3 linked regions of the Notamacropus eugenii genome follow. The protein of the gene in region 3 interacts with the protein of the main gene of each other region in a pairwise test. Links are inferred from orthologs where the notes say so. Each region holds a gene or a part of one and is shown on either strand. Other genes may lie near its edges. The genes, in order: TMEM11, PLP1 and CREB3L1.

Region 1 (3,745 bases), on a different chromosome or scaffold from region 3:
GGGGTGGTTTTAGACCTGAAATGTCCCTAAGTCAACTCAACAGTCAGGGCTGGCTCAGAAAGACCTGGTTGCTCTCATCAGTGTCTTGTTAGACAAGGTAAATGTAAGGGAGTATACATAGGATACAAATGATTGGTCAGGGAGTAGTAAATGTCATCATGACCCGGTGCACAGCCAGCTCAGCCCAGTGCACGGCCAGCTCCTCAGCCAGTGCACAGCCAGCTCCTCAGCCAGTGCACAGCCAGCTCCTCAGCCAGTGCACGGCCAGCTCAGCCCAGTGCACGGCCAGCTCAGCCAGCGCAGAGCCAGCTCCTCAGCCAGTGCACGGCCAGCTCCTCAGCCAGTGCACGGCCAGCTCAGCCCAGTGCACGGCCAGCTCAGCCAGCGCAGAGCCAGCTCCTCAGCCAGTGCACGGCCAGCTCAGCCCAGTGCACGGCCAGCTCAGCCAGTGCACAGCCAGCTCCTCAGCCAGTGCACAGCTGGCTCAGACTAATAAATTCTACAGGTGCAGCTGGCTACTGTATCAACAAGGGTGATGACAGTTGTTACCAGGGCAGGCTGTGTCCTGGACCCAGAAACTGCCTGGGGTAGTGCTTTGAGGCTAGGGAGAAATGGGATTTTAGAGTTGGGGCCCAAGCACCCCACCAGGTGGGTGAGCGAGGGGACCGTGTCCCCATGCCCAGACCCACGCTTGTCTCCTCCAGGGACTCCCAAGCTTTCTCTAGGGACACAACCGACCTGGTGAACCCCAGACGCATCCTTAGCACCCTGATGGAATCCCTGCTCCCCTCCTTGGATACCCCAGCACGAGCTGTGTGGCAGCGTCTGAAGCTGCAGCTCTCTCGTGGGGATGAAAGACCTCAGCTCTGCTATACTGGCTCTTTTCTCTGGAATCCAGGTTGTCGAGAGAGATGGCAGAATGGATGAAGGAGTGGAGGGAAGGGGAGATGGCCAACGTCCGGGGGAGAAGAGAGTGGAGAGACGGAGGGGGGCTGGATACGTGGAGGGAGGGCAGATGGATGAATGAATGGCGGAGGGCGGGGCGGGCGGCGGGAGGCAGCCTCCCTCCTCTCCATGACCTTAGCACGTAAAGGAGCCCGTGAAGGACAGAGCCTCGCTCGGAAAGGGCCCGCCTGGCCCGCCTCCGGGGGAGGGGGCGACGGAGAGGTCGGACCCTTAGCGGAGCCGCGGCGGGCAGGGAAGGAGCAGGAAGGGGCGGGGCGCTCGTCCCCGGTCCGCCGCTGTGAGCAGCTGCCAGGCCTAGTCTGGAGAAGGCGCCGAGGCTGCGGCGTGGAAGCAGGAGAGGCGGGAGACCGAGGGGGGCGGGGAAGGAGGAACGCCTTCCCAACAGCATTCTGGGAAGTATAGGCTCTCCCCGCGGGTCTCTTCAGCTTCTCTTTCTCGGGGCCACTGGCATGCTAACGTTTGCTGGACCTCTGCATCTGAACTCTTTGGGGGGCTCCCCTCGAGAAGGGATGACTTGGCCAAACCACACTGGATACAAGAGATACTTTTCCTCTTCTTGTCGCCTTCCTCCCTCAGGATCCAGACTACATTTCCCAGGCGACTTGCGAGAAGGCAGCTTGGAGAGGTGGCGCGGTGCACTGTGGAGGTTGTAGTTCCTATTTGATTCAGGCTTCCGCACCTCGGGCTATCCCGGTGCCGAGAGCCGGACTACATTTCCCTTCAGTCCTCCCGATTCCCCTCGGCCGCCTTGGCGGAGACATTTGCGAACGGAGTGTCTCCAAGATGGCTGCTTGGGGAAGGAGGCGCCTTGGCCCGGGCAGCAGTGGCGGCAGTGCCCGAGAGAGGTGAGCCTGGGAGAGCCGCGGTTCCTCCCGGGCCAGTGGCGGAGGGCGTGGGAAGCCAAAGGGAACCAGGCGGCGCTGCGGCGGCGGCCCTGGCGCCGGACTCTTCTCCCGCCCTCCCCTCAGTTCTTTGGGCTCCTCCTTCCCCCCGCCCGCTCGGTCCCCCTGCCTGCCCTCCGAGGGGCGCCTGGAATCTGGGCTCGAGGAGAGAAGCCGGGGGAGGGAGGGCGGAGAGGAGCGGAGCCGCGAGGGTCGGCCTGGGGCACCTCTCGCGGGGTCCGGGGAGCGCCGCCGCGGCGGGGAGGGGTGGGCGCGTCTGCAGGGAAGTGTGGTCCCAGTCCGGGCCGCGGAGAGCCCGGATCGTGCGGGAGGACCTAGGGCGAGGCGCCGGCGTCCCACCTGGGCCCGAGGGCCGGCGTGGCCGGACCCCCGCCCATCCCCCACGTGGGCGCGGAGGGGGCGCCCGGCGGGGGGCGTGCGTGTGAGTGCGTTCGCGCGCGTGAGTGCGCATGTGGGTCTGTTAGTCTGGGGGTGGGGAGGCCGGAGGAGAGCAGCCAGTAGTGACAGAAGCAGGTCAGCCGCGGGAAGGTCAGTGCGAGCGTGCACGTTTCCCGGGCCAGGCCCTTTCCAGATGTGGATCCCGCCCGGACAGAGGTGCCCGCCACCCCCCACCCCCACCCCCGGCCCGGGGTGCTCGGCCCTTGGCGGGGGCGTCCTTCCTAGTGACCTTTCCCTCCCCTCCCGGGGCTCGGGTGGGCAGGCAGAAGAAAGGTCTCTCCAGAACGATCCGGGAGGATCCTTCCTGTTCTTGGTGCTCGGGTTAATGGAGCAGTTCTGGCTCGGGGAACACTGTCAGAACTTTTTAGTTGTGTCTGTGTGTCTGTGTGTGTGTCCGTCCCCCGCCAGTCTGCTCGTCTCGTTGGGCTGACAGTTGATCTGGAAAGGAGAGGAGATATTTGGGTTGCTTTAAAGTTAGATCGGAAGAACGGGCTGGTTTGTGCTCCCTCATCACTGAAGTGGGGTTGGGGGGACAGGACGCGAAGTGTTAGGTTCTGACGTTGTTTACTGGTGCTGCTAAGATCAGGCGAAGTCATGGAGCTATTTTGATATCCAGATGGCATTAGAAATCGAAGTATTCAGATCCCCTGGACTTGGTGCCGTATGCATCAGTTTAGAAAAAGGGAATCAGTGAAAAACTGCACCCTCAGTAAATACGCGATCCTGTGTTCGGATGTCCCATCGTCTGGATTTTAAACTCTTGACTGATCCCTGGAGGTGTCGCCAAAATGTAGAAAATGGTTTGTGCCTTGGGATGATGGTCAAGAAGCTAGGGAAAAACCCATTCAAACCGATGGCTCAGTTGTAACAGAATACGGTATGCCTCCTAGAAGCAGGGCTTCTGATTTTCTGGTTTCATTTAGTGCCTTTCTCAACTCTTTCAATATAACTTGTTTTGGCTGAAGGTTACCTATTTATTTTCCTTTTAGCTAGGTTTTTGTTTGGGTAGTAGCTTGCCACATCTCAGCTTCCCTAAAGATCCACTTCCCACTCAAAAAGCAGGAGGTGGAAACATAACCCTGCCATGTAGATCCAGCTTGTCAGCTGCTTTCTGTGGCACACCTACAGATCTTGCTTGGCAGGTGGGGAGACTACTCTGAGGGCAGGGTAGATTAATTGATTACACACCACCATAAAGTATAATGGCTGCATGTTATTGGGTCTTATGACTGAAGTAGACTGTTTATGGCACTTTTAAATGACTTTGTTCCATGTCCAGTTTGCACTGATTAAAATTAAAGCTCTACATTTCTCATTCACTTTTTTTAAAACCACTACTGCATTTACCTGACTGGCATCTGGTTTGTGGTGGAATTCTTAAACATTGCCTAGTATGTGGGGCGTGGAGACTGGGAAAACCTAATGCATTAACTAGTAGT
Region 2 (3,745 bases), on a different chromosome or scaffold from region 3:
GAGATTCTCCTCCTTCCCTCCCTTACTGCTCTTTCTGGTGCTTTCCTGCTGTCTGCCTATCCCAGAGCTCATTGTTTACCTAGCTTTGGTGGGGAGGAGGTCAGAGAAGGGACAAAGGGGTCTCCCAAATGCATTAGTCTGCTATCTCAGGAACAGATTGGCTAAGTAAGAACATGTTCGTTTGTTCCTCGATAATCACTCAAGTAACATCAGGGCTGCTGATGGAACCCAGTTTGTCTCCTGGTGCTGTGGGCTGTTGGACTGAGCCATGAGCTCTGTCCTTCATACTCTTCTCCTGAGCCCCCCTCCACACACACACACACACACACACACTCACACACACACACACACACACACACACACACACACACACACACCAAGCAAGCCCAAACTTCCTTCTCAGTAAACAACAGCTCTTCAAATGAAGCAGAAGATGTCTGGTTACCAGGGTAACAGCCACCATTCTCAATCTTCAGTCTTAAAGGCTAGACTCTAGGAACCAAAGTTTTGTTGCTCCAAGAGGGGTGATCAATTACCAAGAAAAGAGAATCTGGCATTGCTCTGGGTTTCTTCTGCCCTGTTGTCCATGTCCCCCACCAAAGCCAAATCATAAGGACCTGTCATTGATGCCTCCCTAATCCCAATCCCTGCAGTCTTTTCGGGAACCAGGGTAGACACTATAGCATTCTGCAATGTCATGGCTACAAGTTGGCTGGGGCCACAGCCCCGGGGGCCATCATGAGGTGGCCTCATCTCAGCGGGCTGAACTATTCTCCATCTACCCAATAGGTGGGAGCTGATGCATATGGCCTATCTCTGAGCCTAGTTCCAGTACGATTTGCCCCTTCTTTTGGCAGTACCCTCTATCTGAGGCTGTCTTGTCCTGCTGAAATCTAAAGCCAATACCTGGCTGGCAGAAAGGCATTGCATTTCAGCCTGTTCACACCCCTCCTCACCCTCATCCCTTCTTATCTGGAACCTGAGCCACTCACCACTTCACTTGTACCCTCTTCCCTGGCCCATATGGCAAGTCCTTGGTATCTCCAAGGACTGGAGCCTGGCATCCCACTGTCTCCAGAGGACATTTCCCCAGACACCTTCCTCTGGTGACCACATGTTTCTGACACTAATACCTAGAGTACTCCAAGAACTTTTTCTGGAAGGGCTCAACCACCCCAGGGAGCTGGAGCCAGCTCGGAGTCAAGCCCTCATGTGCTTGTAGAGTATAACTTTTAAGGAACTTTCCCATTCACTGCCTTGTATAAGACCACTGGTAACCCTATTAAGGGGGCAGAACAATGATTATTATCTCCATTTTCCAAGTGAGGAAACTGATGTTCAGGTATAGTGCCTAAGAATCATCAGAGCCCACATCTTAAGGTTGGCAAAGCACTTTTACACAAATGCTATCTTGAGTCTCACAACAATCCTGAGAGGGAGGTACCATTATTAGCCCCATCATACAGAAGAGACAACTAAGGCTCAGGGAAGTTAAGCGGTTTGCCCAGTGTGACAGAAGTGGGATTCAAACCTTCATCCTCCCCAAATTCAGCCGGATTTCCACTATACCACAGCATGGGGATGAAAGGGCATGCAAGCAAATTCCTTCATTTTACAGCTAGGGGAAGCCAAGCCAGAGATCTGAGGCAGTAAGGGACCTTAGAAATCAGGACATCCAAACACTTCCTTTTGTAGGAGGCCACTGAGACCCAGACAGTGACTTGACCAAGATGACACAATTAATGAGTGACAGAATTGGGGGCTCCTGACTCTTCTGCCAACCTTCTTTCTATTATACCCCACTAGCAGTACAAGGCCTGCAAAAAGATGCCTCTGTACACTGAGACAACTAGGTGGTTCAATGGATATAGCACTGGCCTGGAGTCAGGAAAACTAGAGTTCAATTCCAGCTTCAGACACTTACTAGCTGTGTGACCCTGGAAAAATCACTTTTCTTCTGCCTGCCTCAGTTTTCTTATCTGTAAAATGGGGATAATGATAACACCTATCTCCCAGGGCTGTTGTGAGGTTCAAACAAGATCATATTTGTTTACAAATATGCACTTAGCACAGTGCCTGCACATAGTAGGCACTATATAAATGTTTGGTCCCTCTTTCCATCCTTCAGAAAGGACTAGAAAGAACACAAATGGTCATCTTAGTGAGAACTTTATGTGTAGCAGAAGTCTGGGGACCAACCAGAGGGTCACTGGAGTGGAGTTCCTATAGGAAGCGATTGAGATTTTCAGGCAAAGCCTGCATTTCTACAGGAGCAAAGTACACTCTCTTGTGAAGGACACTCTAGCTGACAAATGGGCTGGGATAACTGTACCCCGAAGACCCTGCTTAGAAGGGAATGTGCCAGAGGACAGCGCCCCCAGGCTTCTACCAAGCCATGAAGAGATGACAGACAGAGCTAAGGGCCAGCTTCCAAGAGACTCTGAGCCTGGTCCCACAGAAGAGAGGGGAAGGAGAGGCCCAGCAGCCACTAAGACCTTAGAGCAATGGAGAAGGAGGAAGAGGGAGACAAATGGAGCCGGGCAAAGGGACAAAGGCCAATCTATCCTCCTTGACTGGCATTTCCTCCAGCAGGATCCTAAATGGAGAGTGATGAGGCAGCAGCACCCAGCACCCTCAGGGCCGAAAGTGAATATCCTGACCCCAGAATCACTAGAAACCCAATGCTCCAGTCCTAGAATTCAAAAGCCCCAAGGGCATCCCCAGCCTGACCCCAGCTCTGGACCAGTCCCACCTTCCAGTGTCTGTGGCTAAAGTTCTTGGCAAACTTACCCATGGCTTTGGGACTCCGGACTCCAACTAGGGTTGGCTGCTTCTCCGACTTTGGGACAGACTTGCTTCAGGGAGGAGAATCCTGGCTGCTCTCTCCTCTCCTTCCTCAGTCCTTTACTTTTTCACTCTGAATATCTTTGTCCTCTTCTCCAGCAAAGAAAAGGGCTTTCTGATTGACAGCCAATCCCCTTAAAGGGACAGGCCTCCTTTCCTCCTCCTCTTCCTCCTCCCTTCTGCCCCCTCTCCTCCCCTTCCCCCCCCCCCCTCACCGGGATACTCCCTTCTCTTAGGGCTTGCTGTGTCTTTGCTTTTCCCCCACAGCTGCCAGATTGGATTTTGTTTCCCTTTCGTTGCTGTCAGTGTGGTTTCCCACTCTTCCTCAGTAACATCAAAAATTATGGCTTGGGGGTTGCCAGAAGGGAAATGATTCTGGTAGCCAGATGGGCAAAAGGAGGGGGGATGGCACTGGGGGGAATGGAGTGGGGTGGGGTTCCAAAGATGAGATGGTCAGATGCCCTGAGACCAAGATCCAACTGAGGAATTGTTGGTTACCTTGTCCCAAATGCACAATCACTTAACAAGTAAACACCTCCTGTGTGTAAACACCTACTGTGTGCTGGGTACTGTGCCAGATGCTGGGCATATGGAGCTTGCCCTTACCCCCCAAGTTAGTGTCTCAGGGAGCCAGACAAAAAGCCAAGGAAAAAGAATGAGGAAGCCCTAGGAAGCCTCCATTAAAGGCGAGTGCTGTGCTGGGCCCTGGGGAGACAGACCCTACCCCCAAGGGGCTGACATTCCACTGTGCTTGTGTGCAGCCAAGCTTTAATCACAGGAAGAGTCAGAAAAAGGTGCTAGTAGGTGAGACTTGACCCTTGAGCTGAGACTTGAAAGGAACCAAGAATAAAAGAACTCTAAACATGGGCACAGCCTGGGCAAAGGCACAGAGGCAGGAGAT
Region 3 (3,745 bases):
GTGCAGTGAACTAGAAATCAGCCAGCTCTGGATTCTAATTCCAACTTAGACATTTACTAGCTATCTGGTCCCATGCGGGTGACTGCTACTTACTACTTTAACAACTTAGACCACCAAGTCACTTCATCTCCCTGAGCCTCAGTTTTCCCATCTATAAAGTGGGGGAAATAACAGAACCTGTCTTGGGGGAATTGTCAGGATTTAACGAGATAACATAAGAAAAGCATTTTGCAAATCTCAAAGGGCTATATAAATGCCAGGATTTATTATTTTGGATAAATCACAAGCAGAGAGGCCACACATCCCCTTTGTGTTTCTCAGACTTGTGTTAGACGTCAATTGATTTACAGTATGGGACTAGGCTGCCTTGCCTCTTTTTCTCATGAGCAGAAGACCCTCTCATAAACTTGAAAATGGAAGGCGCCTTAGAAATAATCTGATTTGACTTCTCCACTTTCATTTTGCAGATGGAGAAACTGAGGTATAGGGAGATTAAAGTGACTTTAAAGTGAGGTCGTACAGATGGTAACAGAATTAAGACTAAAACTCAGTTCCCCTGATTTAAAAGCTGGTCCTCTGCCACTCATACCTCTGCAGATTCATTCATTCATTCACTCATTCATGCATTCACGCATTCCACTAACATTGATTGAGGACCTATGCTGGTGCTTTGTAGGCTAACAAAGATACATAAGGCATGATCCCCACCCTCAAAGGGCTTACTGTTTAATGAGGCCATTTACAATCTGGTCAATACCCTATTAGCAGCCTCACTTTTCTCTTCTGTAACGAGACAATCCCTGGTGGTAGAGGGTGCAGGATGAGATTACCCCTAACATATCGGGGTACTGAGCTCTCCGCTTTTTTCTGGCAAAGTTCTCAGAGTCTAACTGCTGACTTTGCACCTAGGATGGTTGGGTCCTGAGAAAGGCCTGGGTGGCCTGAAGGACCCAGGGGAACTTGGCCCTTGGATGAATTAACCTGCTGGGAGCCTGTCTGGACTTACTTCCAAACCACAGGCATACCTCCAAGCCACACAGGGTCCTGAAATTTCAACTGGGCAGATCCCTCCAAAGCCAAATATTTTCTCCCGTGACTGAGTGCACTCCCTGCCCCCATCCCCCTCCATTCACCATCAGGGCCTTGGGGCTGAGCCTGCTGGAGGGAGGACACATTTCCTTGGGGGGGTGGGGTGGGGAGAGAAGAGAGAATGCCAGCTTTCTCTGCCCATTGCTAACCTATTCTTACAAAGGTGGGGAGTGCAGGGCTGGTCCCTGAGCTCTCTGCTGAGGGTCTCTCTTGATATTTTGCCTTAGGTTGGTGGGGAGTCGGCAACATCTCCTGAACGCCTGGTCTGGCGTCGATCCAGGTTGTGTCCCCGAAGGGGCGCCAGGCTCAGGCTTTCTCTGGCTTTCGGCAGACTACCCCCTCCCATCTTCCCCCAAGATCAGACTGCACCCTTTGCTCTCGGGAACAAAAAGGGGGAGTGGGGGGACAGGGACAGGGGGGAGGAAAGGGGAATCATCCGAGTTTCTTTCCTCGAGTCAGAATGACCCTATTGCCAAGAGAGACTTTCTACCCTCTCCTCCCTCAGAAGCTACAGAAGACTCCCCGGAGCTAGGTAGAAATGCAAGCTCAGAAGACACCCGGGGGCTAGAGCTGGAGCTGGGGCAGCGGTTAGATCTCAGTCTCTCGGAGTCCGGGTTCTAGGCCAGCTGGCCTTGAAAGGAAACCAGGTTCCAAGGGGGGGGGCGGGGAGTGAGGGAGAGGGGCACAACTGCCCCCTCCCAGGGCTGCCATTGTTTCCACTGCCAGCATCGTGCCTTCATGACCGGCCAAAGGGCTGGAGTGGGTGACATGTCACGGAAGGAGGCTAAGCGCCAACGAGCTGACCCCGAGGGCGACTCTGGGCTCTGGTTCTGCTTCGCTCCTACCCCAGCCCTCTTCCTTGGGTCACCTCATTCTTCCACTCGGGATCTAAATACTACACCCACTCCTCCCGCCCCTCCCTCGCTGGGGCTGACCCCCGCACAGGGTCGCAGCTGCTGTATCCCGGGGGACGCCAGACCGTGCCAGGGGGTTAGAGTTGGGTCCTTTGCCTGCCTCCGTGGTGTGTGCGTGTGTGTGCGTGTGTGTCTGCGCGTGTGTGTATGTGTGTGTGCGTGTGTGTATGTATGTGTGTGTGTGTGTGCGCGTGTGTGTGCTTGTGTGTGTGCGTGAGTGTGTGTGTGTATGTATGTGTGTGTGTGCGTGTGTATGCATGCGTGTGTGTGTGCTTGTGTGTGTGCGTGAGTGTGTGTGTGTATGTATGTGTGTGTGTGCTTGTGCGCGCGCGCTCAGCAGCTGGGGACACGAGTGACCGCTGGGCGCGGACCCCTGGCCTTTCTTACCGCATTGCTCAGGAAATCCGCCTCATTGAGATCGCCCAGGTCCAGAAAACTGGAGCCGGGGAAGAGCCTGTCTGCTGGGAAGGGCTCTAACACGGCGTCCATGGTGTCTGGCTCGGGGGCTCCCAGGAGGTGGCGCGGGCAGAACACCCCCTTTGCTGCCCGGCTCAGTCAGTCCAGCGCTGGGGGCGTCCAGGCCACCAAGCTCGCCTTCGGGCTGGCAGCTCTCCGGCAAGCCCCCGGCGATCTTGGAGCCTCGTCTGGCCGGGGGCGACGGCGACAGCGGTGCAGCCGGAGTGTGGGCTCAGGGCATCCGTGAGCCTCCGGCAGGGCAGCGGGGCTCCCGGCGCACGGTGGGCATCTCTCCTCCACCCCGGGCAAAGCGAGATTCCATAAGGAGAGGCTGGGGCCAGAGAAGTGGGGGCTCCCGCCCCTCCCAGGGGCTGGGCGGGAGCCGGGAACGGGGGAGCTGCGGACTCCCCCGGGACTGGGTGGGAGCCGAGCGAGCTTTCTCCTCTCCCGCTCCCTCGGTGCGTTTCTCCCCTCCGCACTCTACTGTCACTTTCCCTGTCTCCAAAGCCGGGAAACCCAAGCTCCGCCAGCTAGGCTTGGTTGCCACACCCCCACCTCCTCAATATTCAGGGGCCTCCTTAGTAGTAATGAGATTGGGGGCGTGCCTTCTCTTCCAGACCCGTCCCTTTAAAGAGGCAGCCTCTTAGAGGACCAACCCTGCCGTTCCTTTTCTCTGCGTGCAGAATGTTTGCCCCCGAACCAGGGCAATGATTAATGACTGCGGGCGCCGTGGGACTACAAGGGAAACCAGTCCCAGGCCCTGGGCAGAGAGTAAGCCTTCAGCTAAGGAATCTTCAGCAGGTGGCCACAGACCCCCCGGCTTTTAGTCGCTGTGTCAGCCTCCCTCCCCCGGCAATAATTGGCAAGTGCCAGGCATTTCTGTTCCAGTCGTTTTATGGAAATAACAGCAGAAAGGAACCGAGAGTTAGAAAATTCCAGGTCATTGTTCCTTCACCACACGGGATAGAAACACTGGCAGCGCCTAGCAAAATGCCTTGCGCATAGTAGGCCTTCAATTCTGTTCAACTGAACAAAACCTTTTCATGAGCACTACTTTAGCTGGTCCTAGATGTAGTTGATGGGATCATAGGTTTAGTCATGGAAAAAAAAAACCTCAGAGGTTTTTCAGATCAGTCTGTTATTTTACAATAAGGAAACTGAGGCACAGGGAAGGGGAAAGATTTGCCCAAGAGCCTAGGTCCTGGGGGCGAGGGGAAGGGGTAGGGTAGGTGGCTCAGTGGATAGGTTCTGGAATCAGGAACATCTGAGTTCAAATCGTACCTCAG

Evidence for each region.
Region 1: the proteins of CREB3L1 (region 3) and TMEM11 interact in binary tests that used the Homo sapiens proteins (3 or more experiments, as listed by UniProt). The two-hybrid records come from large-scale screens. The link is inferred for Notamacropus eugenii from reciprocal best matches to the Homo sapiens genes CREB3L1 and TMEM11.
Region 2: the proteins of CREB3L1 (region 3) and PLP1 interact in binary tests that used the Homo sapiens proteins (3 or more experiments, as listed by UniProt). The two-hybrid records come from large-scale screens. The link is inferred for Notamacropus eugenii from reciprocal best matches to the Homo sapiens genes CREB3L1 and PLP1.

Annotation. Positions count from the first base shown.
Region 1 is NC_092874.1:378,985,999-378,989,743, reverse strand, and holds the start of TMEM11 (transmembrane protein 11, mitochondrial), read left to right. Parts: upstream 1-1,065; 5' UTR 1,066-1,749; coding exon 1,750-1,811; intron 1,812-2,295; exon of another isoform or gene 2,296-2,439; coding exon of another isoform or gene 2,440-2,462; intron 2,463-3,745. UniProt on the Homo sapiens protein: Plays a role in mitochondrial morphogenesis.
Region 2 is NC_092879.1:92,939,460-92,943,204, reverse strand, and holds the start of PLP1 (myelin proteolipid protein), read right to left. Parts: upstream 2,955-3,745; 5' UTR 2,795-2,954; coding exon 2,791-2,794; intron 1-2,790.
Region 3 is NC_092877.1:4,550,798-4,554,542, forward strand, and holds the start of CREB3L1 (cyclic AMP-responsive element-binding protein 3-like protein 1), read right to left. Parts: upstream 2,983-3,745; 5' UTR 2,493-2,982; coding exon 2,391-2,492; intron 589-2,390; exon of another isoform or gene 1-588.